Anolis sagrei: one gene and its partners. The protein of the gene in region 1 purifies or fractionates together with the protein of each later gene. This does not show direct contact. Links are inferred from orthologs where the notes say so. Each region holds a gene or a part of one and is shown in the gene's direction. Other genes may lie near its edges.

What was found. Proteins that work in one complex are often made in the same cells at the same time.
Region 2: the proteins of SKP1 (region 1) and ARHGEF6 purify together in Homo sapiens (affinity purification with mass spectrometry; 3 studies listed by BioGRID and IntAct, with this or other methods). This does not show direct contact. The link is inferred for Anolis sagrei from reciprocal best matches to the Homo sapiens genes SKP1 and ARHGEF6.
Region 3: the proteins of SKP1 (region 1) and YAF2 purify together in Homo sapiens (affinity purification with mass spectrometry; 3 studies listed by BioGRID and IntAct, with this or other methods). This does not show direct contact. The link is inferred for Anolis sagrei from reciprocal best matches to the Homo sapiens genes SKP1 and YAF2.

Annotation. Positions count from the first base shown.
Region 1 is NC_090022.1:92,082,124-92,089,725, forward strand, and holds the start of SKP1 (S-phase kinase-associated protein 1), read left to right. Parts: upstream 1-4,571; 5' UTR 4,572-4,678; intron 4,679-6,970; coding exon 6,971-7,067; intron 7,068-7,602. UniProt on the Homo sapiens protein: Essential component of the SCF (SKP1-CUL1-F-box protein) ubiquitin ligase complex, which mediates the ubiquitination of proteins involved in cell cycle progression, signal transduction and transcription.
Region 2 is NC_090030.1:25,206,534-25,213,513, reverse strand, and holds the start of ARHGEF6 (rho guanine nucleotide exchange factor 6), read left to right. Parts: upstream 1-3,939; 5' UTR 3,940-4,069; coding exon 4,070-4,234; intron 4,235-6,980. UniProt on the Homo sapiens protein: Acts as a RAC1 guanine nucleotide exchange factor (GEF).
Region 3 is NC_090025.1:136,447,313-136,455,115, reverse strand, and holds the start of YAF2 (YY1-associated factor 2), read left to right. Parts: upstream 1-4,762; 5' UTR 4,763-5,015; coding exon 5,016-5,041; intron 5,042-5,384; coding exon 5,385-5,510; intron 5,511-7,803. UniProt on the Homo sapiens protein: Binds to MYC and inhibits MYC-mediated transactivation. Also binds to MYCN and enhances MYCN-dependent transcriptional activation. Increases calpain 2-mediated proteolysis of YY1 in vitro.

The DNA of each region.
Region 1 (7,602 bases):
TAAAAACACTGCACATATCTTATTTGTAGTGCAAAAAATACTTAACAACAATACAATAATTAAAATAAAGAACAAATTTTAATAAATGTACTCTTATTAGTATTCCAATGGGAAGTGTGGGCCTGCTTTTGGCTGATGAGATAGGATTGTTGTCGTGTGCTTTCAAGTCATTTCAGACTTAGGTTGACCCTGAGCGAGGGCCGGGTAAATGACCTTGGAGGGCCGGATTCGGCCCTCGGGCCTTAGTTTAAGGACCCCTGCTTTAGATCCTTGAATGCTGCTACTTGGGTGTCCATGGAGTTGAGGGTTAGGCAGGAAGCACAGTGGCATGGCCTGAACTGAGTAGGTGAGCTATTGCTCCCCCCAAAGGGAGTGGGTGGGTTGCATGGCTTTAAGGTTTTGAAACTTGCACTGCACACAGGACCTCTTTGTGTGATGACCACGCGGCGAACTACAGTTATAGGTAAGCAAACCTTTCCCTTTTACTGTGCAAATAATGGCCATGAGAAAACCTGCACAGCTTCAGGACCGTGGATGGGGGACCTGAAGGTCTTTCCCTTCCTATGGCTACTCCTGGCAAAAAGAGTGCCATTGAAGCTGCTACTTGCACTTCAAAGGGAACATCACTTAAATACTAATAGCATGTTCAGAGAAGGGATTTTTCTGTCATGTCTGTGAGAGAAAAAGAATAACCCCTCCCTCCCCCTCCCCGTCTGGAAGATGTTTCGCATTTGAGAGCTGTGTAAGGAAAACAGGATATTAATAGGATTCTTTTTCTATAGATGAGTTTTTTTTCCTCTGATAGTTAACTATCCAGATCAAAAAAATAGATTTTAAGGGTTCAGATTTGGCAATCAGTTGTGTTTTACTGCTGAGAGGTATTCAAATCGAGAGAGATAAATCAAAAGATCATAAATGTAAGAGTTTTAATTAGTAGTCATTTGAATTTTACCGAGATGATCCTCCCTGGGTGAAATTACAGTAATATGGCCTAATAAGAAAGCAAACACAATACTAATAGAATGGTATCAGGTGCCAGTTGGATCCAGGCAATATGAAAAGGCTGTACAATAGCTTTAGCTGCATGGACTTTATGTGCCTATTCTGTTGGGCATAATAAATGTCTATGTGGAGTCAGGCCGAAGGCCTCTTAATCCAACGGTGAAAGACTTCACATGATAACACACCTTCGCCTGCATTTCCCCTACCATCTGATAAATTGAGGCATTCCGTTTCCATACTGGGAGTGGTGCATAGTCATCCTGACCTCAACCTCAATTTAAAAATATCTGTATAGACATAACACATCAAGGAGTCCGTAGACTTATGGTGAGTCCTTCATATTCATATTCATTGGGTTTTCTTAGGTAACGGATATTCACAGGTGGGTTTGTAAGTTCCTTCCTCTGAAATGCAGCCCACAGCATTCACAATTCCCTCATCCCAGTAACTCTATACAACGTTTAATAATTTGGCCCAAGAAACAATGTATGTGTACCATCAGAACCATTAGAAAGCACAAGCGCCCCTATCTCAGCTACCCAAGGCGATGCTTTGGGAGGATTTCAGAATTCTGGATAAGGGATGCTCAATTTATACCTGTACTGGGTTGCTGTAAGTTTTTCAGGCTGTATGGTCTTGTTCCAGAAGCATTTTCTCCCAACGTTTTGCCTGGATCTATGGCAGGCATCCTCAGAGGTTGTAAGGTCTGTTGGAAACTAGGAAAGTGGGATTTATATATCTGTGGAATGTCCAGGGTGGGAGAAATAACTCATGTCTGTTTGAGGCAGGCGCAAATGTTTCAATTGGCCACCTTGATTAGCATTTAATAGCCTTGCAGTTTCAAGGTCTGCCTGCTTCCTGCCGGGGAGAATCTTGTGTGTGTGTGTAGGGGGGGGGGGGGGAGTGATTAACTGGCCCTGATTGTTTCTTGTCTGGAATTCCCCCTTTTGAGTTGTTCTTTATTTACTGTTTTGATTTTAGAGGGTTTTTTTCAATATAGGTAGACAGATTTTGTTCATTTTCATAGTTTCCTCCTTTCTGTTGAAATTCTCCACATGCTTATGGATTTCAATGGCTTCTCTGTATAGTCTGACATGGTATTGCTGAAATAAGGCACCTGCTGAGGATGTGGCAAGGAGCAGCAGTATGTGGCATGCCTTTAAGTTACTCCATTTTAGGCCCCAGGAGTTCCCTTCCTCTGAAACAGCCCACAGCCACTGGGATTCTTAGTTTGCGCCTGCCATCCAAGTACTAACCAGGGCTAACCCCATTAATCCTCCAACATCAGAGGGGATCAGGGTATCTAGACCTGGAAGGCTCTTCACACAACTTGTAGAACAAAAGTTCTGGGCGACTTCTGAAAAAGTGTGGCTTTCTGTGGCGTGAACAGCTCATACCAGATTCCTGACAATGTAGGTAATACTGTGGGATGAACACAACAAAGTAGACGCATGTGTTCTCTGCTCAAATGAGGGGCAACAGCCCACAGGTGCAAGCGAGCTCGCAGCTACTACAGCAGCCATACATGTAGCCGAGGGGGGGGGGGGTTGAGGTGCTTCACCCCCCCCCCCAAATTCTCAGGATAGTCCGCAAAAAGGGCCCAGTGGTGTCCTTGTCTGTGCCTGGGCCCTCGGCGCACTCACTTTCCTCTTCGGTGCCCCTGGTTTCAGCCTTCAGTGCCAGGAGAGGCAGGGGAGTGCGCTGACAGCCCTGGCGCCAAAGAGGATGCTGCTGCACCACAGACCGCTCGGAGGCTGCAATAGGCCTTTGTGCCCGTGAGTCGAGCCTGTCGACTGCCTTCTGAGACCTCTCTGGATCCAGGTAAACAACAACTCCCATTTGAAAAGGGGCAATCATTCCCTAATCCATGCCTCTATGAACAGTTGGGCACATTGGCTCCATGCGCCAAGTTTAGTCCAGATCCAGCGTTTGCTTGGTTCAGTGCCCTCTGGATAACTCTCAGATACAAGGTCAATCACTCCCAATCCCCGCCTGTCCTGTATGCACAGTTGGCCGTGTTTGGTCCAGATATGATGTTGGCTGCCTTCGGTGCTTCCTGAATCCAGGTAAACAACAACTACCATTTGAAAAGGGCAATCATTCCCCAATCCCTGCCTGTATTCACTGTTGGGCACAATGGCTCTATGTGCCAAGTTTGGTCCAGATCCAGCGTTGGCTTGGTTCAATGCCCCGTTATATTATTGTTAAACAGTTCTTCTACGTTAAAATGAAGTTCGTGATGCTACTAATATGCTGCCTCCAAAGGCAGGATATATAATTTAGAGCCTGTATCTTTAAGAGTAGGGGAGTTCGGGCCTGACAGCATCCAGGGCAAACGTGGGCCCTCCAGGTGTTTTCCTAACAGGCCCAAGCCCTTCCCTCTTCGCTTCAGCGGCTGAGGGGGGAAAGGAAAGGCCCTGAGGCTGTTGGGAATGGTGGGAATGGAAATCCAACCCCCCTGGAGGGAGGGCCCAGGCTTGCCCGTGCCTGTACTACTCTGAAGCACGTCGGGTTGGCCAGCGCCGCCCTTACGTTTATGACGCGCGCCAGAATGGCCGCCAATGCGAGGCGACGGTTTCCTTGGGAGCGTTTGTTTCCTACGTAGGCGGCCATGGATTCTGCCTGAAGGACCCCAAGGAAGTGAAGGGCCTCTTATTATTTATTTATTTATTTATTTCTTGCACTTATTGACCGCCCCTCTCAGCCCGAAGGCGACTCGGGGCGGTGAACAACAACAACAAGACAATGTACAGTAAATAAAGACAATACAAACCAGACGGATACAACATAACATATACTTATACTAAAAATCCGCTTCGTCAAGTCCTGGGGTCATAGCCGAAATTCGTAGTCCTAGTTCATTCCATTGTCAATTTAACTACACTCAATTGAAGGCCTGTTCAAAGAGCCATGTTTTTAGGCCCCTACGAAAGGCCATCAAGGAGGGCGCCTGTCTAACTTCAGCAGGGAGAGTGTTCCACAGCCGGGGGGCCACCACCGAGAAGGCCCGCTCCCTCGTCCCCGCCAGACGTGCCTGTGAGGCAGGCGGGACCGAGAGAAGGGCCTCCCCGGATGATCTCAAGGCCCTCGTGGGCTCGTAGGCCGAGATGCGGTCTGCGAGGTATTTTGGGCCGGAACCGTTTAGGGCTTTGTAGGATAACACCAGCACCTTAAATTGGGCCCGGTAGCAAATCGGCAGCCAGTGGAGCTGAGACAGCAGAGGCGTTGTATGCTCTCTGCGTCCAGCCCCCGTTAACAACATGGCTGCCGCGCGCTGTACTAGCTGAAGCTTCCGGGCCGTCTTCAAGGGCAGCCCCACGTAGAGAGCGTTGCAGTAGTCGAGGCGGGATGTCTCTCCCGTGCTTTTCCAGCGTTTTCCTCTCATCCCTTTTTCGGGAAACAGTGCGCCTGGAAGTGCCTGGCTCTCCCCTACCTCCCTCCGTCCCGCCTGCCCGTCTTCCGCTGTTCCTCCATCCTCCCGCCCCGCTTTTCCTCCAGCGCAGGCACTTTCATTAGGCGCCTATCCTTCGGAGGCGAAGAGGGCGGAGTCAGCCTCGAATCCCGCCCCGCCCCCAGAACTATAAAAAGCGTGCGGCGGCGCGCGACCTGAGCGCGCTCGGGTTTAGTGTCGAGGCGGGTGGAGCTACGAGGCGTTGCTGCCGCAGCTGCGTTCACGGTGAGCGAGGCTGAGGCCTGGTCCGGGAGTAGGCCTCACTCCACACGGGTTTGGCTTGGAGAGCCGAGGAGACAGCGGAGGGAGGCCTGGTGAGGCGAGGGCGGCGGCGCGGAGGCTCCGCGCAGGTGGTTGCTAAGGGAGAGGCCTCCCGCCTCCGACGAAGGGAAAGGAGAAAGGAAGGATGGGTGACTTAGGAACTTAGCCGGGATTCCTTTCCCTTCTCTGCCTCGACCTTCTTAGCTTCCTTGTCTTGGGACCCCAGAGAGGAATGTCCTCTTGCCTCCCATCTTATAGTCGTCTATTATATTAAGGGAAGCGTGTGTGTATATACAGAATATCTCTATCTGGGATCACCTACCTTTCAGTAGCATCATAAAATGGCTCTCTTCGCTTCCTCGCCAGTGATGTAATCCCTGGCCAGTATTTCCGTGAAGGGATTGAGTCCTGAGTTTTCCAAGTAGCTCCTCCTCTCTGTATGTAGTTGGGAAGATTCAGGGCCAACCAAATATGTTATTGCCAGAAGTACCGTCTTGTTTACTACAGAGAATACTTGCTTAGTCACTCTAGGCATATATTCTGGAACTGCTTAATATTTTTAATATATTTTTTAAATGACAATAGTTTTAATATTAAATAACCCTGCCAAGGCTTTGAGCCAGTGGTATATAAATAAACATAATTGTAATAATTTATATTTATCACTGAGGTAGTTGGTTGGATCGAGAGTTAGTTGTTTTGAATAGTTCCACCTAGATCAGTCATCGTAAACATTACTACAATTGGGTACAGTGTGTCCTCTTGACAAGAGGCTGCCCAAAGTCGGATTTCAATGTTTTTGTTTATTGTTATGCCACCTTTCTCTTGACATGCCAAAACAGTGAACATGACACAATACAATTAAAAACAACACAATTAAAACGTGAATATAATCTTAAAAATATTTTGTGTAATGGAGCATATATATAGTAAAGTAAAAATAAAACGATATTTAAAAACGGCACAGTTTTAAGATTGGCTGGTATAATCATTGTGCAACTAGGTAAGTGATTTCTGGTTCCTAAAGTGTTTTGGACTTCAAATCGCAGCAGCCTCAGCAACTTGACCAATTAGTCCGAGATTCTGGAATCTGAAGTCCAAAGAACTGGAGTTGGCATCACTCATAGATGTTTACAGATATTCCAATCAGATTTTTTTAAAGAGTTGAATGTTTTCACATCTACTATTAGTTTCAAAATAATCATCTGTAAAAAGAGGCCTATTAAATGGCAGTTGGCAAATGTCCTTTGACAAAGGCTATGGGAAGTATTTACTATTATGGCATGAACCTGAGGCATTCTTCTACAAAAATAATAATGTTCTCCTTGTTCAGTATTTCATACTTTTATCACAGGCTAGAAATAATTATGATCAAATATAATAATTTGTGCATGGCTTCAGTATTTTTAAAAAGTCACTTTAATTAGGAATTTCAGAACTTCTAGATACCCTGCAAAGTATATAAGCAAAAGACTGGTTTAGAACTATTGTCTTAATCAAATTATAGAAATTCAAAATATGATGCAGCATCCTCTGATGCTGAGAAGAAATACGCATTACGTTGTTTAAAACTGCAGTATCATATCTTGGATGATTGCCTAGTACAAAATCCGGATGACTGGAATCCAGAGTTCTTGCCAGGAATCAAATCTTTGTAAAAGTACCCAAATAGTTCTTTGAATCTGTAACTCAAACATTATTTATTTGAAGGGGACTACTCCATACTGCAGGTAACAAAGGATTGCTTAAAGTGAACAAGGCAAGCATCAAAGGGTCACAGATAAGTCAGGTAGAAGAAACCAATTTATTAGTGTTCCTATAATGTATTCTTTTGTTCAAACCTAAAATGAGATATTGAAATTATCTGCAATATTATCTAAATATACCTACTTTACTCTAGTACACTCTGTAGATATAGTATGGAGGTACAGAATAAGCACAGGTCAATGTAGAATTCTTTAAAAAATATTTTACTTATGAATTCAATATATGACTTTTAGTAGCCATTGCTATGGCCAGCTCTGCAACTGCACTTTGGGGATAATATTGCCCTGCTTTTCAGAGGTATGAAGATTATTGTACATGGTGTTAAGAGAACTTCAAAATACTTTGTGTATGGCAACATAAGAAAATCTCAGCTTACCCTCAATTTTAAATCTCTTGTACTTGACATATCAGTATGTCAGTTAATATGAAGCAGGACTATCATGTAAGCCTATGGCTCTAAGAATATCGGCTATTATTTTCCTTTTATAGATGCCTTCAATTAAACTGCAGAGTTCTGATGGAGAAATATTTGAAGTTGATGTTGAAATTGCAAAACAGTCTGTAACCATAAAGACCATGTTGGAAGGTAAGGACATTGTGGTGATACTTGATGCAATGGAAAGAAGTGGTTCAGAAATTCTCACAGTAGAAATAGATTAGTTCCTAAATTAATGAAGTATTATTGAAATTCTAACTGAAAGTTTGTGATATATAGTGTGTGTATGTGTGTGTGTGTGTGTGTGTGTGTATATATATAAGTATATTAGTAAACTGCTGACTTCTTTCAAATAGGTATTGTTAATATTGTGCATATATGTGTGTGTACACTCATGTATACTGCTGCCCTTAAGTATTCACAGGTGGACATCCACTTCATTCAACCAACCATTGGATACCAAAGGCCACCATATTTGCTAGCTATTGTGCATTGGATGCAGTGTTCACAAAAGTTTATGTCACAATTAATGTTTTTAGTCTTCAGGATGTTATCACTCCTTTTTTCTGTTTAAGCTTATAGGCTAAATTCTATTCCTCTGCTGGTCTAGTTATGCTGAAACTAAAGGAGTTGATAATAGCAGAAAGAATCAGTCTTCTTCAGTGTTGGCAAAGAAAAAAAAGAA
Region 2 (6,980 bases), on another chromosome or scaffold:
TTAGCAATTAAGTAACACACTTCAACATTTTCAAACAAGGAACATATTTTTTTGAAATTTTGTTACATAGTGGTAACTTAGCAACCAGAACAGATTTTCTGTGGCATTCATAATTATGGATTCAATCCATAGATAGAGTAAAGTGAAGCTACCAGTAGGTGGTGCTGTTGGCCAGTTAAATAACTATTGTAATGAAAATACATTTGTTTTTACCCAGCCTTTAAAGTTCATGCTGAACCCCACAGAAATTCCCCAGTGTTTTGTATAATCCGACCTCTTATAGCACTATTGAAATCATGGAGGAATTTAAAAGGGTCTGGCCCTGAAGGAGAGACCCTGCGGACCCACAAAAAAGAGGGTTCGCTACAATGGTGAGCAAAGAGAAGCCCAATTTAAAAGGTTTTTCCTAAGTTCCCAAAAGAAATCTCACCAAAGTTGAAGGAAGTGCCACCAAGATCATTTTATGGCGATTCAGCTGAAAAGGATGCAAAGCAGCAATATTTCACCAAGCTGAGCATACAGTGTACAAAAATAAAGGCCTTTTTATACATAAAACAGAGCTGCCAGGTTTGAATCTCCCATTCCCCGCCCCTCTGCCGGCTCGACGATGATTGGCTGGCGCTCTACAGCTGGGAGGAGGCTTGGCCACCTCCTGAGCACCTGGGCCAATCGCTGGGCTTCTGCCGTCTTGGCATCCTGACAAATCAGGAGGGAGGCGGGACGAGAGGGAAACAATGGATTCTTGGGAGGATTATGGAGGTAGGAAATGTCCAAACGGCCAACGAGTCCTGGGGCGTGCGAGCCAGCCATTCCTATTGTCATTGAGAAACGTTGATTGTCTGGCAAGCCTGCCATAATCCGGATTTTTCCAGTGCTGAGAGACAGGAACAATGAGGGAATTTTGGCTGTGGTTTCAGTGGGTAAAAGTTGAATCAGTAACAGAATAGGACAAATTGAGATATGATCATAAATGCCAAGTTGAGATATGATCATAAATGCCAAGTGACCGCTTCCTCTGGGGGGCCAACTCCAAGGCCAGAGGTCACAGTCCTTTGTTATTGTCCATGCAAATAGTGTCTTTTGATAAGGGTCTTTTTCAACTGGAGATTTCCTTCTTTCCAGGGTCACAGGGGTGGCTTCTTATATTTTTATACATTTTTCAATAAAGGGGAATTGGGCAAAGGGGTCAGGAAAAGGTCAGATACACAGGGAGGAATATATAAAAATAGAAATCATGTTATAGAAAGCATACCCACTTATCCCTCCCACCAGAGTCCCATAGAAGTTCAAGAGAGCACATAAGTGTAAAGGGAGGTGGTTTCTCAGCAATAAATGTGCTTTTTTTTGTTGTGTCAGGAGCGACTTGAGAAACTCACTTCTGGTGTGAGAGAATTGGCCGTCTGCAAGGACGTTGCCCAAGGACACCTGGATGATTTTGATGTTTTTATCCTTGTGGGAGGCTTCTCTCATGTCCCCACATGAGGAGCTGGAGCTGATAGAGGGAGCTCATCTGCCTCTCCCCTGTCGGTCTTCAGTCCTGCCGGCACAGGGGTTTAACCCACTGCGCCACCAGGGGCTCCACTATAAATGTGCTACCTTCTGCTATATATGAAACCTAGGGAATAAAAACTTGATTAAATGTACGCACTATCTAACATGGGAAGAGTCCTTGTTGTTGTTAGTGTCTTGGCAAATTGACCAAGGCTTAACCCACCGCCTCCTCCTGAGAAAAATGTATAATATCACAAAGGACTACCACCTCACCCGCCTCATAGGAAACCTGCTACAAAACAGGAGCTTTTTTGTTGAGTTCAGGGCCAGAGAAGCAGATGGCGGAAACAGAAGAACGGCCTGCCTCAGGGGAGCGTGCTTGCTCCATCCATGTTCAACATCTACACAGATGACCAGCCACTGCCAGAAGGGACAGAGAGCTTCATCTATGCTGATGATCGTGCCATTACCACTCAAGCAGGGAGCTTTGAGATGGTTGAAGATAAGTTCTCAGAAGCTATAGGTGCTCTTACTGCCTATTACAGGGAAAACCAACTGATCCCTAATCCATCTAAAACACAGACATGCGCCTTTCACCTTAAGAACAGACAAGCATCCCGAGCTCTGAGGATTACCTGGGAAGGAATCCCACTGGAGCATTGCAGCACACCCAAATACCTGGGAGTCACTTTGGACCGTGCTCTGACCTACAAGAAGCACTGCCTGAACATCAAGCAAAAAGTGGGTTCTAGAAACAACATCATACGAAAGCTGACTGGCACAACCTGGGGATCACAACCAGACACAGTGAAGACATCTGCCCTTGCGCTATGCTACTCTGCTGCTGAGTATGCATGCCCAGTGTGGAACACATCTCACCACACTAAAACAGTAGCTGTGGCTCTTAATGAGACATGCCGCATTATCACGGGGTGTCTGCGCCCCACACCACTGGAGAAATTACACTGCTTAGCCGGTATTGCACCACCTGACATCCGCCGGGAAGTAGCAGCCAATAGTGAAAGGACCAAGGCAGAGACATCTCCAGCTCATCCCCTGTTTGGGTATCAGCCAGCACGTCAACGACTTAAATCAAGACATAGTTTTCTTAGATCTACAGAGACACTCGCTGGAACACCCCAGCAAGCGAGAGTCCAAAAGTGGCAGGCCCAAACCCAGCACCTCAATCCATGGGTGATACCAGATGAGAGACTCCCCCCTGGGCACACAGAAGACTGGGCGACTTGGAAGGCGCTGAACAGACTGCGCTCTGGCACCACGAGATGCAGAGCCAATCTTAAGAAATGGGGTTACAGGGTGGAATCCTCGGCATGCGAGTGCGGAGAAGAGCAAACCACTGACCACCTGCTGCAATGCACCCTGAGCCCTGCCACATGCACAATGGAGGACCACCTTGCGGCAACACCAGAGGCACTCCAAGTGGCCAGGTACTGGTCCAAGGACATTTAACCAACTACCAAGTTTGCAAAATCTGTGGGTTTTTTTTTAATCTGTGTATTTGTTTTGTTGTGTTAGAATTGTAACACAATGGTATGGTTGCTGATGACACGATAAATAAATTTATTTATTTATTTATTTATTTATTTACAGTTCTTATATTCCGCCCTTCTCACCCCGCAGGGGACTCAGGGCGGATTACAGTAAACACATATATGGCAAACATTCAATGCCAGTTTGACAAACAACATTTAACAGACAAATACACCGAGGCTATTTAACTTTTTTCTGGCCGCCAGGGGAGTTGCTGCTTTTCATCATCCATCAACAACACCGATGAAGTTCTTCCGCATTCCACATTCCCCGGAGTCTTTTTTCTTTATGGCCTCATAAATTAGTTAAATTTAGCCTCCCACACAAGGTGGTACCTTATTTTCCTACTTGACAGATGCAACTGTCTTTCGGGTTGCAAAGGTCGACAACGGGCTACACAATGGCTGGACACCCACTCCAGCCCGGGCTGGCTTCGAACTCATGACCTTTTTGGTCAGAGTGATCTTAATGCAGCTGACACTCAGCCAGCTGCGCCACAAACCCGTATTATCAAGTCTCATGTGCTTGTCCTTAGCAAAACTATAAGTTACTATCTTTTATGGGGGGGGGGGGGTCATGTTCGACTTCAGTAATCTGTAGTTGCCATCTCACTTTGCGTACTGGATTGTGCCGCCCCTGTCCCAACTCATTCTCCAGGTGTAACCAAGGCTTCTATCCTTGAAGATGAAGGAAGGATGTAGAAAGCTATCGATGCACGAAGTTTCTGTTTTCAGCGACACAGGAAATCCGTGTTTACGGCACGACTTCTAGCCCCAGAAGCTTCCCTCCTTGGCACTTCTGCAGACGAGAAGCCATGTGTGCAAATGCGCACAAACCCGTTCCTCTAGTCAAGAGGGAAGTCAGTTTCTGGTGACTTTGTAAACCGGAAAAAAAAAGAGAAAAGGACAGTGGCTTTCAGCGCAGGGCAATCTGTGACATCTCAGGGCGGTTTGGCCCAGAAGAAGCAGGAAGGCAGTGTTGTGGAGGTGGCTCGGCCTTTTCATCGAGACGGAGAAACCCTACCAGCATGAACCCCGAAGAGCAAATTGTGACCTGGTTGATTTCACTGGGAGCCTTGAACTCCCCGAAAATGAAGGTCGGGGACCCCCTGCAATTCCTCAAAACGTCCCTCAAAGATGGAGTCGTCTTGTGCAAACTCCTTCTCCGACTCCTTCCAGGATCTATAGAGAAGGTAAGGCAGCGTTTCTCAACCTGGGGGTCGCAAGGGCAGGGGCGGCTCAACCATTACGCAAAGTAAGCCTTTGCAGTATAGTTGATTTTGGCCAGGGGCGCTCTTGAGGCGCTCTTGGGGGAAAATAGACCTTGAGGTCTTTCCAAGTTGTGGTCTCATAGGAAATGCTTGTGGCTTGACTACTGCAATGCATTTTTGTTTACGGGCGGCCCTTGGAGACCTCGTGAGAGGCTTCAGTAGGTTGAGAAGTGTTGAAAGGGACGGCAGTGGAGCCATCTAACAGGAAAAGGCCTTCATTGGGTTCCTTTATAGAGCCTAACCCATGAGATCAGTACAAACCACTGTCTCATGTACCCACATCTGACAAAATATGCCCTCACTAGGCATTTACTTGGTCCTCCACAGGGGCGGCTCAACCATTACACAAAGTAAGCCTTTGCAGTATAGTTGATTTTGCCCAGGGGCGCTCTTGAGGCGCTCTTGGAGGAAAATAGACCTTGAGGTCTTTCCAAGTTGTGGTCTCATAGGAAATGCTTGTGGCTTGACTACTGCAATGTATTTTTGTTTACGGGCGGCCCTTGGAGACCTCGTGAGAGGCTTCAGTAGGTTGAGAAGTGTTGAAAGGGACGGCAGTGGAGCCATCTAATAGGAAAAGGCCATCATTGGGTTCCTTTATAGAGCCTAACCCATGAGATCAGTACAAACCACTGTCTCATGTACCCACATCTGACAAAATATGCCCTCACTAGGCATTTACTTGGTCCTCCACAGGGGCGGCTCAACCATTACGCAAAGTAAGCCTTTGCAGTATAGTTGATTTTGCACAGGGGTGCTCTTGAGGTGCTCTTGGGGGAAAATAGACCTTAACATATGCAAGTTGTAGTTACTGGGATGTATAGTTCACCTACAACCAAAGAGCATTCAGAACTCCACCAATGATATAATTGGACCAAATATGGCACACAGAACTCCCACGACGAACAGAAAATATATATCAGTGATTGGTTGGGTGGGTGGGTGGGGTGGGGTGGGGCGCCAAAATACTGTTTGAATACCGTTGAAAATTACCTAGGGCCGCCTCTGCGCGAGGGGGATGTCAGAGGGGTCGCCAAAGACCATCAGAAAACACAATATTTTCTGTTGTTCATGGGGCTTCTGTGAGGGAAGTTTGGCCCAATTCTATCATTGGTGGAGTTCAGAATGCTCTTTGATTGTAGGTGAACTATAAATCCCAGCAACAACTCGCAAAAGTCAAGGTTTATTTTCTCCAAACTTCATCAGTATTCATGTTTGGGCAATGTCCACCAAACCCTTTGAGTATTTTCTGTAGGTCATGGGAGTTCTGTGTGTCAAGTTTTGTTCAATTCTATTGTTGGTGGAGTTCAGAATGCGCTTTGATTGTAGGTGAACTATAAATCCCAGCAACAACTCCCAAATGTCAAGGTTTATTTTCTCCAAACTTCACCAGTATTCACGTTTGGGCAATGTCCACCAAACCTTGGAGTATGTTCTGTAGGTCATGGGAGTTCTGTGTGTCAAGTTATGTTCAGTTTTATTGTTGGTGGAGTTCAGAATGCTCTTTGATTGTAGGTGAACTATAAATCCCAGCAACAACTCCCAAATGTCAAGGTTTATTTTCTACAAACTTCACCAGTATTCACGTTTGGGCAATGTCCACCAAACCTTCAAGTATGTTCTGTACGTCATGGGAGTTCTGTGTGTCAAGTTTTGTTCAATTCTATCGTTGGTGGAGTACAGGTTAACTATAAATCCCAGCAACTCCAACTCCCAAATCACAAAATCAATCTCCCCCAACCCCAACAGCATTCAAATTTGGATGCATCAGATATTTGTGCTAATGTGGTCCAGTGAATGAAAATACATCCTGCATAGCAGATATTTACATTATGATTCATAACAGTAGCAAAATTACAGTTATGAAGTAGAAATGAAAATAATGTTATGGTTGGGGGTCACCACAACAAGAAAGGAGATTCCATCTGAACATGAGGAAGAACTTCCTGTCTGTAAGAGCTGTTCAGCAGTGGAACTCTCTGCCCCAGAGTGTGGTGGAGGCTCCTTCTTTGGAGGCTTTTAACCAGAGGCTGGATGGCCATCTGTCAGGGGTGCTTTGAATGCAATATTCCTGCTTCTTGGCAGGGGGTTGGACTGGATGGCCCATGAGGTCTCTTCCAACTCTAGGATTCTATGATTCTATGATTCCTACTTGGCCGCAGAAATCCATCGGGAAAGTCACACTCTCTCAGCCTCAGAGGAAAGGGAAAGCCATTTGCCTCTAAACAATATTTATGAATATTTGCCTTAGAGTCATCATAAATCGCCAAGCACCTTGAAAGAACATCCACGGCATTCCCCGCACCTATCCAGCTTGTAACTCTATCGAAAAAAGAGATCAGATGCGTCCGGCATGACTTGTTTTTGATAAATCCATGTTGACTATTAGCGATGACCGCATTTGTTTCTAAGTGTTTGCAGACCACTTCCTTAACAATCTTTTCCAGAATCTTGCCTGGTATCGACGTGAGGCTGACCGGATGGTAATTGTTTGGGTCATCCTTGTTTTGCTTCTTGAAGATTGGGACCACATTGGCCTTCCTCCAATCTGCTGGAACTTCTCCCGTTCTCTAAGAACTCTCAAAGATGATTGCCAATGGTTCCGAGATTACTTCTGCTAGTTCCTTCAATACTCTCGGGTGTAGTTGATCTGGCCCTGAAAGGGGACTTG
Region 3 (7,803 bases), on another chromosome or scaffold:
AAATTATTTCTGTAAAAAGCCTCTTTTTCTTTCCTCTCCTTTCATTCCACAGACACAGCAACGCAAGGCAGGGTATTGAATAGAATAGGTTTTCTCAGTGAATCTATGTTTGCAACAATACTTTTATTTACTATCTCATTAATTTCAAACCAGACTGAGCCACAGCGAAGTGTGGTCAGGTTTAGCTAGTATATCTATATAAATCTCCCTCTTTAAATAAGATAGAAAGGCAGAACCTATATTGAGATACTGTGCAGACAGAAACCAACCTAATTAATATGCAGTGTCAAATGCTGTATTTAGTTTAGGTTATTATAATCCAGGAATATTGAACTGAAGGAAAATATTTTTAAAATTATTTTTGGAGAAGGAATATGCGATAAATCATTACAACACGGACAATAAACAGATATCCCAAATAATGGGCATCAGTCGGTACAGGTTGAGTGTCCCTTAACCAAAATATTTGGAACTGGAAGTGTTTTGGATCTGATTTTAGATGGTGGGATGTCTGTATTTGCAGATTTGTACATAATGACATATCTTGGAGAAGGGACCCAAGTCGAAACAAGAAATGCATATAGCCTGAATGCACTCTTTTATAGTAATTTTTGTGTGAAGCAATGTTTATGTAAATTGAAGCATTAGAAGCCCTAGTGTGGATCCAGCCTCATGTGGACAATTTTAGATTTGGGAGTATTTCAGATTTCCAAAGTCCGGATAAAGGATGACCAACCTGAACTGATTCTGGTGCCTCCACCTTGCTAGTGGAGTGGGCTGAGTTTATAGCAGTAACAAGCTGTCGGTACTTCAAAAATTTATTTCCAGTTACTGACTCCAATTCCATTTTACTCGAACAACCGGAGGGCTTTCACAGAACATCTTATGACTTCCTACACAAGACACCTCTCAATAGTGGAGACTGGTCATGACGTCCAATCTATTATTTATTTATTTATTTATTTATTTATTTATGCGCTTGTATACCGCTAATATCTCAGCCTAAGTCGGCGACTCATTGCGGTTTACAACAACTAAAAAGTTAAAAACAATTAAAAAACAGTATTCAATTTAAAACATGAAACACATATCTATATGTAAGATAAATCACTCATTCTATATTCTTAAGACTGCAGAAACTATACTTGCAATGGAGTGGACTGAGTGTGTAGCAGCTATGCTTAATCGACAGTAAGAAACTGTAGGTCACACACTTTTTAGACATGCATCACTTCATGACTAGGAAAGTGGAAGTTAAACCAACGCCTTATAAAAGATATAGACATATATATCACTTGTAGTGAAACATGAAAACTTTTCATTTATATTTTTTAAAAATTACTGATTTATTGCTAATTCCACATTGACCACGTGGTTTCTTGTTACCTTCATGCCACACAACTACACACTGCAGCTGATATACTAATGTGTCGCGACACTTAGTTTGAAAGTTCTGCTGTATGTACTTTAGAAATGTATTCCCACTAACTCCAAACCCATTTCACATTAACCAGTGCTTGGATTTCACAGTATACCTCATGGCTTCTTCAGTGGTGGACACTGGTCATGACCTCCAATCAGACATCCTCTCAACGCAGCCAAAGCCAAGCTTTCTAAGGTTTGAGCCACCCTAGGACTTCTTAACCTTTTCGGACCCCTTTCTGCCTGAAAAGAGTTTGTATGACCCAAGGTATATATACAGATAAAACAGGTATACAAAGCAAACATTTACTGATAACCAGCATTTGCAAGGCTTGCTAAACAGGCTGATTTTCCATTTTTATGAAGCACAGCTAAAGCATTTCTTGCAGAGTCCACTGTAAACATTGTAGGTTATTAACTGATTTGTGTAAATGGACAGATTCAAAAACCTTTCACAGTTGCCAAATTTTTCATGATCCCGACATCGAGTTGAAAGGAGACTCCATTTGAGGTTGGGACGCAGTTTACAAAGCAGTGATTTGCACTGTTGGATAACGCAGTCCAAAGTCCAGTATATGCTCAGTGTAGCTCTAGCCCAAGCCTCACTATGGGCCCTTCTACATAGCTGTATAAAATCCAGATTATCTGCTTTGAACTGGATTATCTGGCAGTGTAGACTCAGATAATCCAGTTCAAAGCAGATAACCTGGATGATCTGTCTTGATATTCTGGATTATAAGGCAGTGTAGAAGGGCCCTGAGTGTACTAATAGGAAACAAGACAGTGCTTGTCTGTGTGGGCCCATTCCACACAGCTGAATAAAATCCCACATTTTCTGCATTGGATGAGCTCCCTCTGTCAGCTCCAGCTCCCCATGTAGGTACATGAAAGAAGCCTCCCACAAAGATGGTAAAACATCAAAATATCAGGGCATCTCCTGGGCAACATCCTTGCAGATGGGCAAATTCTCCCACACCAGGAGCGATTTGCAATTTCTCAAGTTGTTCCTGATACACACACAAAAGAAAAAACAAACAAACTCAAAACTATGGGGATCTTCATTGCCAGTGTCTGCTTTGAACTGGATTTTCTGAGTCCACACTGCCATACATTCCTGTCCAAAGCAGAAAATGTGGGGTTTTATTCTGCTGTGTGGAAGGGGCCTGGGTTATGTCTGTGGGCCCTGCCACACAGCCTCATATCCTAGAATATCAAGGCAAAAAATCCCACATTATCTGATAACCCAGTTCAAAGCAGATATTGCGAGATTTCCTGCCTTGAGATGAAGGTTTTAATCCGGATTGGTGACAGATGAGGCCAGGCCCGTAGCCAGGATTTTGTTTGGGGGGGGGGGGCTGAGTTTGTTTGGGGGGGGGTGCTGAGTCTGAGTGAAAGAGGGTCTACCCTAGCAAACATTTTGTATCGTTACCCCAATACCCCAATGCATATGGGACATACTGAGCATGGTGATCAGATCATGATATGAATAAACATAACAGTTTAAATAATGCACCAGTAAGGCCTTCTTGCGGACCACCATGAGAATTTGGGGGGGGGGGGGGGCTGAAGCCCCCCAAGCCCCCCCCCCTGCTACATGCCTAAATGAAGCCCATTTAAGACCCCTTCTACACTTCCCTATATACCATAATCCAATCCCCGATTATTATTTGCTTTTGACTGAGGGTCCTTCCACAAAGCATGAAATCCCACAATATCTACTCTGACCTGGGTTATCAGATAATGTGGGATTTTTTGCCTTGATATTCTAGGATATGAGGCTGTGTGGCAGGACCCACAGACATATAAACCAGGCACCTTCCACACAGCAGAATAAAATCCCACATTTTCTGCTTTGGACACTCAGGTAATGTGGGATTTTCTGCCTTGATATTCTGGGATGTAGGGCTCCGTGGAAGGGCCCTGGGTTATCTGAGTCCACACTCATATAATGTGGGATTTTCTGCCCTGATACTCTGGGATACAGGGCTCTGTGGAAGGGCCCTGGGTTATCTAAGTCCACACTTATATAACGTGGGATTTTCTGCCTTGATATTCTGGGATACAGGGCTGAGTGGAAGGGCCCTGGGGTATCTGAGTCCACACTCATATAACGTGGGATTTTCTGCCTTGATATTCTGGGGTGTAGGGCTCTGTGGAAGGGTCCTGGGTTATCTAATTCCATGCTCATATAATGTGGGATTTTCTGCCTTGATATTCTGGGGTGTAGGGCTCTGTGGAAGGGCCCTGGGTTATCTGAGTGGGATTTTATATAACGTGGGATTTTCTGCCCTGATATTCTGAGATACAGGTCTGTATGAAATGGCCCTGGGCCTACATCCCATATCATATCCTAGAATATCAAGGCAAAAAATCCCACATTGTCTGATAACCCAGTTCAAAGTAGATATTGTGGGATTTCCTGCTTTGTGGAAGGACCCTCAGTCAAATGCTCCACACTCATATAATGTGGGATTTTCTGCCCTGATATTCTGGGATACAGGTCTGTATGGAAGGGCCCTGGGTTATATGAGTCCACACTCATATAATGTGGGATTTTCTGCCTTGATATTCTGGGATTTAGGGCTGTGTGGAAGGGCCCTGGGTTATCTGAGTCCATGGTCATAAAATGTGGGATTTTCTGCCTTGACATTCTGGGATGTAGGGCTCCGTGGAAGGGCCCTGGATTATCTGAGTCCACACTCGTATAATGTGGGATTTTCTGTCTTGACATTCTGGGATGTAGGGCTGCATGGAAGGGCCCTGGGTTATCTAGGGGCCTTTCCACACAGCCGTATAAACGAGAATATCTAGGCAAAAAATCCCACAATATCTGCTTTGAACCGTGTTTCCACACTACCATATATTCCAGTTGAAAGCAGAAAATGTGGTGTTTTATTCAGCTGTGTGGAAGGGGCCTAAGTCCACACTGAGGTAATGTGGAAGGATCCCCCAAGGATCCTAAGAGGGCAGTGTGGAAAGAGGCCTGAGGCTGCGGCCTTCCCTGCCTAAAATGAAAGGCGAAGGGGAGGGGGAATGGCGCTGGTGTCACGGCCGAGGCCTGTGTGGAGAGACAGAAAGAGAGAGAGTGGGAGGGAGAGGGGGGGAGAGAGAGAGAGTCGGCGCAATAGTCGCCCTTCGAAGCCATTCCCCTTCGTGAGTGTGTGTGGTGGTGTGTGTGTGCGCGCGAGGGGCCCCTCCGGCTGCCTCCCCTTGCGCCGTGCTCGCGCCGTGCGCCTGTCTCGCGAGCGGGGATCCCTCTCCGGCTGCCCCCGCCGTCGCCTGGGCCTCGGCCTGGTTGGCGACCGGGGAACACGTGAGGGAGGCGGCGGGCGGGCAGGCAGGCGGGCGGGCGGGCTGCGGGAAGAAGGAGAGGGAGGAGAAGGCGAGGCGGCGGCCGGAGTTCCCCCAACAGCTGGAGGTGGCCGCTCGCTCCAAGTTGTTGTGTCGGCCGCGGCTCCTCCTCTTTCTGCTCCCCTTGCTCGCTTCCCCTCAGCAGCAGCAGCCGCCTCCTCCTCCTCCTCTTCTCGCTCCTCCTTATTGACAAATACACAAAGGGCCGCAGCCGCCGGGCTGGAGACGCGTCTGGAGCCGGCATGGGAGACAAGAAGAGCCCCACAAGGTGAGCCTGCGAGGAGGGCGGCCAGGGGGTTGTTCTCGTGAGGGGCTTCTTCCTCGTCGCCCTCTCTCCCGCCTCCTCTTGTGGCGCGATGGCGGGGAGGCGAAAAGGGACGAGGAAAGGAGAGGAAGCCTGATCACTAGGCCAAGCGAGAGGAGGAGAAGGAGAAAGAGGAGGAGGAGGCACCGGCGGAATAGGTCTCCTCGGGTCGCTTACAAAAGCCTCCCGGTGCCTCTCTCTCTCTCCTTCCCCCGCTCGCTCTCCCCTCCTTATCCTTCCTCCCCTTTTCCCCTCCTCCTTATCCTCCCCCTCTTTCTCTCTCTTTTTATTTCCCGATTCTTTTTAGGCCGAAGCGGCAGCCGAAACCCTCCTCCGACGAGGGCTACTGGGACTGCAGCGTCTGCACCTTCCGCAACAGCGCCGAGGCCTTCAAGTGCATGATGTGCGATGTGAGGAAGGGCACCTCCACCCGGTGAGTGAGCGAGAGGAGACACACACACACACACACACAGCGAGGGAGAGGCCTGAGTGAGTGGCACCGCAGCCCTCCTCCAGCAGAACGGGAGGGAATGGCGGCGAAGGGAGGGAAAGGCCCAAGGAGGCTGCAGGGAGAGCAGAGAGAGAAGGAAGGGAGGAAGGATGGCGGGGAAGGGACAGCAGAGCCGGCCACCATCGCAGCCTTGCTCCTGATCGCCGCCTTTTCTCGGCAAGGGTGACAGGAGGGAGTGGAAGGGATTCCTTTCGCAGGGCCCTTGCACACAGCCCTATAACACAAGAATATCGTGGCAGAAAATACCACAATATCTGCTTTGAAGTGGGTTAACTGAGTCCAATTCAAAGCAGAAAATGTGGGATTTTCTGCCTTGATGTTCTGAGTTATAAGGGCCCTCAGACAACCCAGTTCAAAGCAGATATTATGGGATTTCCTGCCTTGATATTCTGGGTTCTATGGCTGTGTGGAAGGGCCCTCAGATAACTCAGTTCAAAGCAGATATTGTGGGATATTTGGCATTGATATTCTGGTTTTTGTGACTATGTAGAAGGACCTTCAGATAACCCAGTTCAAAGTAGGTATTGTGGAATTTCCTGCCTTGATATTCTAGGTTCTATAGCTGTGTTGAAGGGCCCTCAGATAACCCAGTTCAAAGCAGATATTTTGTGGAACTTCCTGCCTTGATATTCCGGGATATAGGACTGTGGAAGGGCCCTCAGATAACCCAGTTCAAAGCAGATATTGTGGAATTTCCTGCCTTGATATTCTGGGTTCTATGGCTGTGTGGAAGGACCCTCAGATAACTCAGTTCAAGGCAGATATTGTGGGATATTTGGCATTGATATTCTGGGTTTTCTGACTATGTAGAAGGACCTTCAGATAACCCAGCACAAAGTAGATATTGTGGAATTTCCTGCCTTGATATTCTAGGTTCTATAGCTGTGTAGAAGGGCCCTCAGATAACCCAGTTCAAGGCAGATATTGTGGAATTTCCTGCCTTGATATTCTGGGGCCCCTTCCACATAGCTGTATAAAATCCCAAATTTTCTGCTTTGAACTGGAATATATGGCAGTGTGGACTCAGGACCCTTCCATACAGCCCTATATCCCAGAATATCAAGGCAGAAAAATCTCACAATATCTGCTTTGAACTGGGTTATCTGAGGACCCTTCTGCACAGCCCTATATCCCAGAATATCAAGGCAGAAAACCCCACATTATCTGAATGTGGACTCAGATAACCCAGTTCAAAGTAGATATTATAGGATTTTTGGCCTTGATATTCTGGGGTTCTATGGCTGTGTAGAAGGGCCCTTAGATAACCCAGTTCAAGGTAGATATTGTGGAATTTCCTGCCTTGATATTCTGGGGCCCCTTCCACATAGCTGTATAAAATCCCACATTTTCTGCTTTGAACTGGAATATATGGCAGTGTGGACTCGGGACCCTTCCACACAGCCCTATATCCCAGAATATCAAGGCAGAAAATCCCACCTTATCTGAGTGAGGACTCAGATAACCCATTTAAAAGCAGATATTGTGGAATTTCCTGCTTTGATATTCAGGGATATAGGGCTGTGTGGAAGGGTCCTCCAATAACCCAGGATCCATCCACACAGCCCTATATCCCAGAATGTCATGGCAGAAAATCCCACATTATCTGAGTTTGGATTTAGATAGCCCAGTTCAAAGCAGATATTGTGGGATTATCTGGCCTCCAATAACCCAGGGCCCTTCCACACAGCTTTATATCCTAGAGTATAAAGGCGGAAATATCCGCTTTGAACTGGGTTATCTGAATTCACACTGCCATATATTCCAGTTCAAAGCAGAAAACGTGAGATTCTCTGCCTTGATATCTGGGTTATATTGCTGTGTGGAAGGGACCTGGGATACATATTAAGCATCTCTTATCCAGGATTATGAAACACAGTAGACTCTCTAGGGATTGGTAGACACTGGATATAAGTGTCCTTTCCCATTGCTTCAGGGTTACTGTTAAAAATAGGCCCAACTGAAATCTATGCCTCATACTATACCGTGTCATATGCTCTGTACAGGCAGTCCTCAAGTTACGAACATGATCAGTTCTGTAGGTTTGTTCTTAAGTTAGATTTGTATGTAAGTCAAATAATAATAGTAATAATAATGGAATACCATGTATCAGTTTCTTTCCAAATGAATAACTTAACTTCCACATGTTATTTACAATATTGCTGTATAAAACATGGTTTCTATTGTTTTCATTTGATCTGACGAGGAAACAAACTAA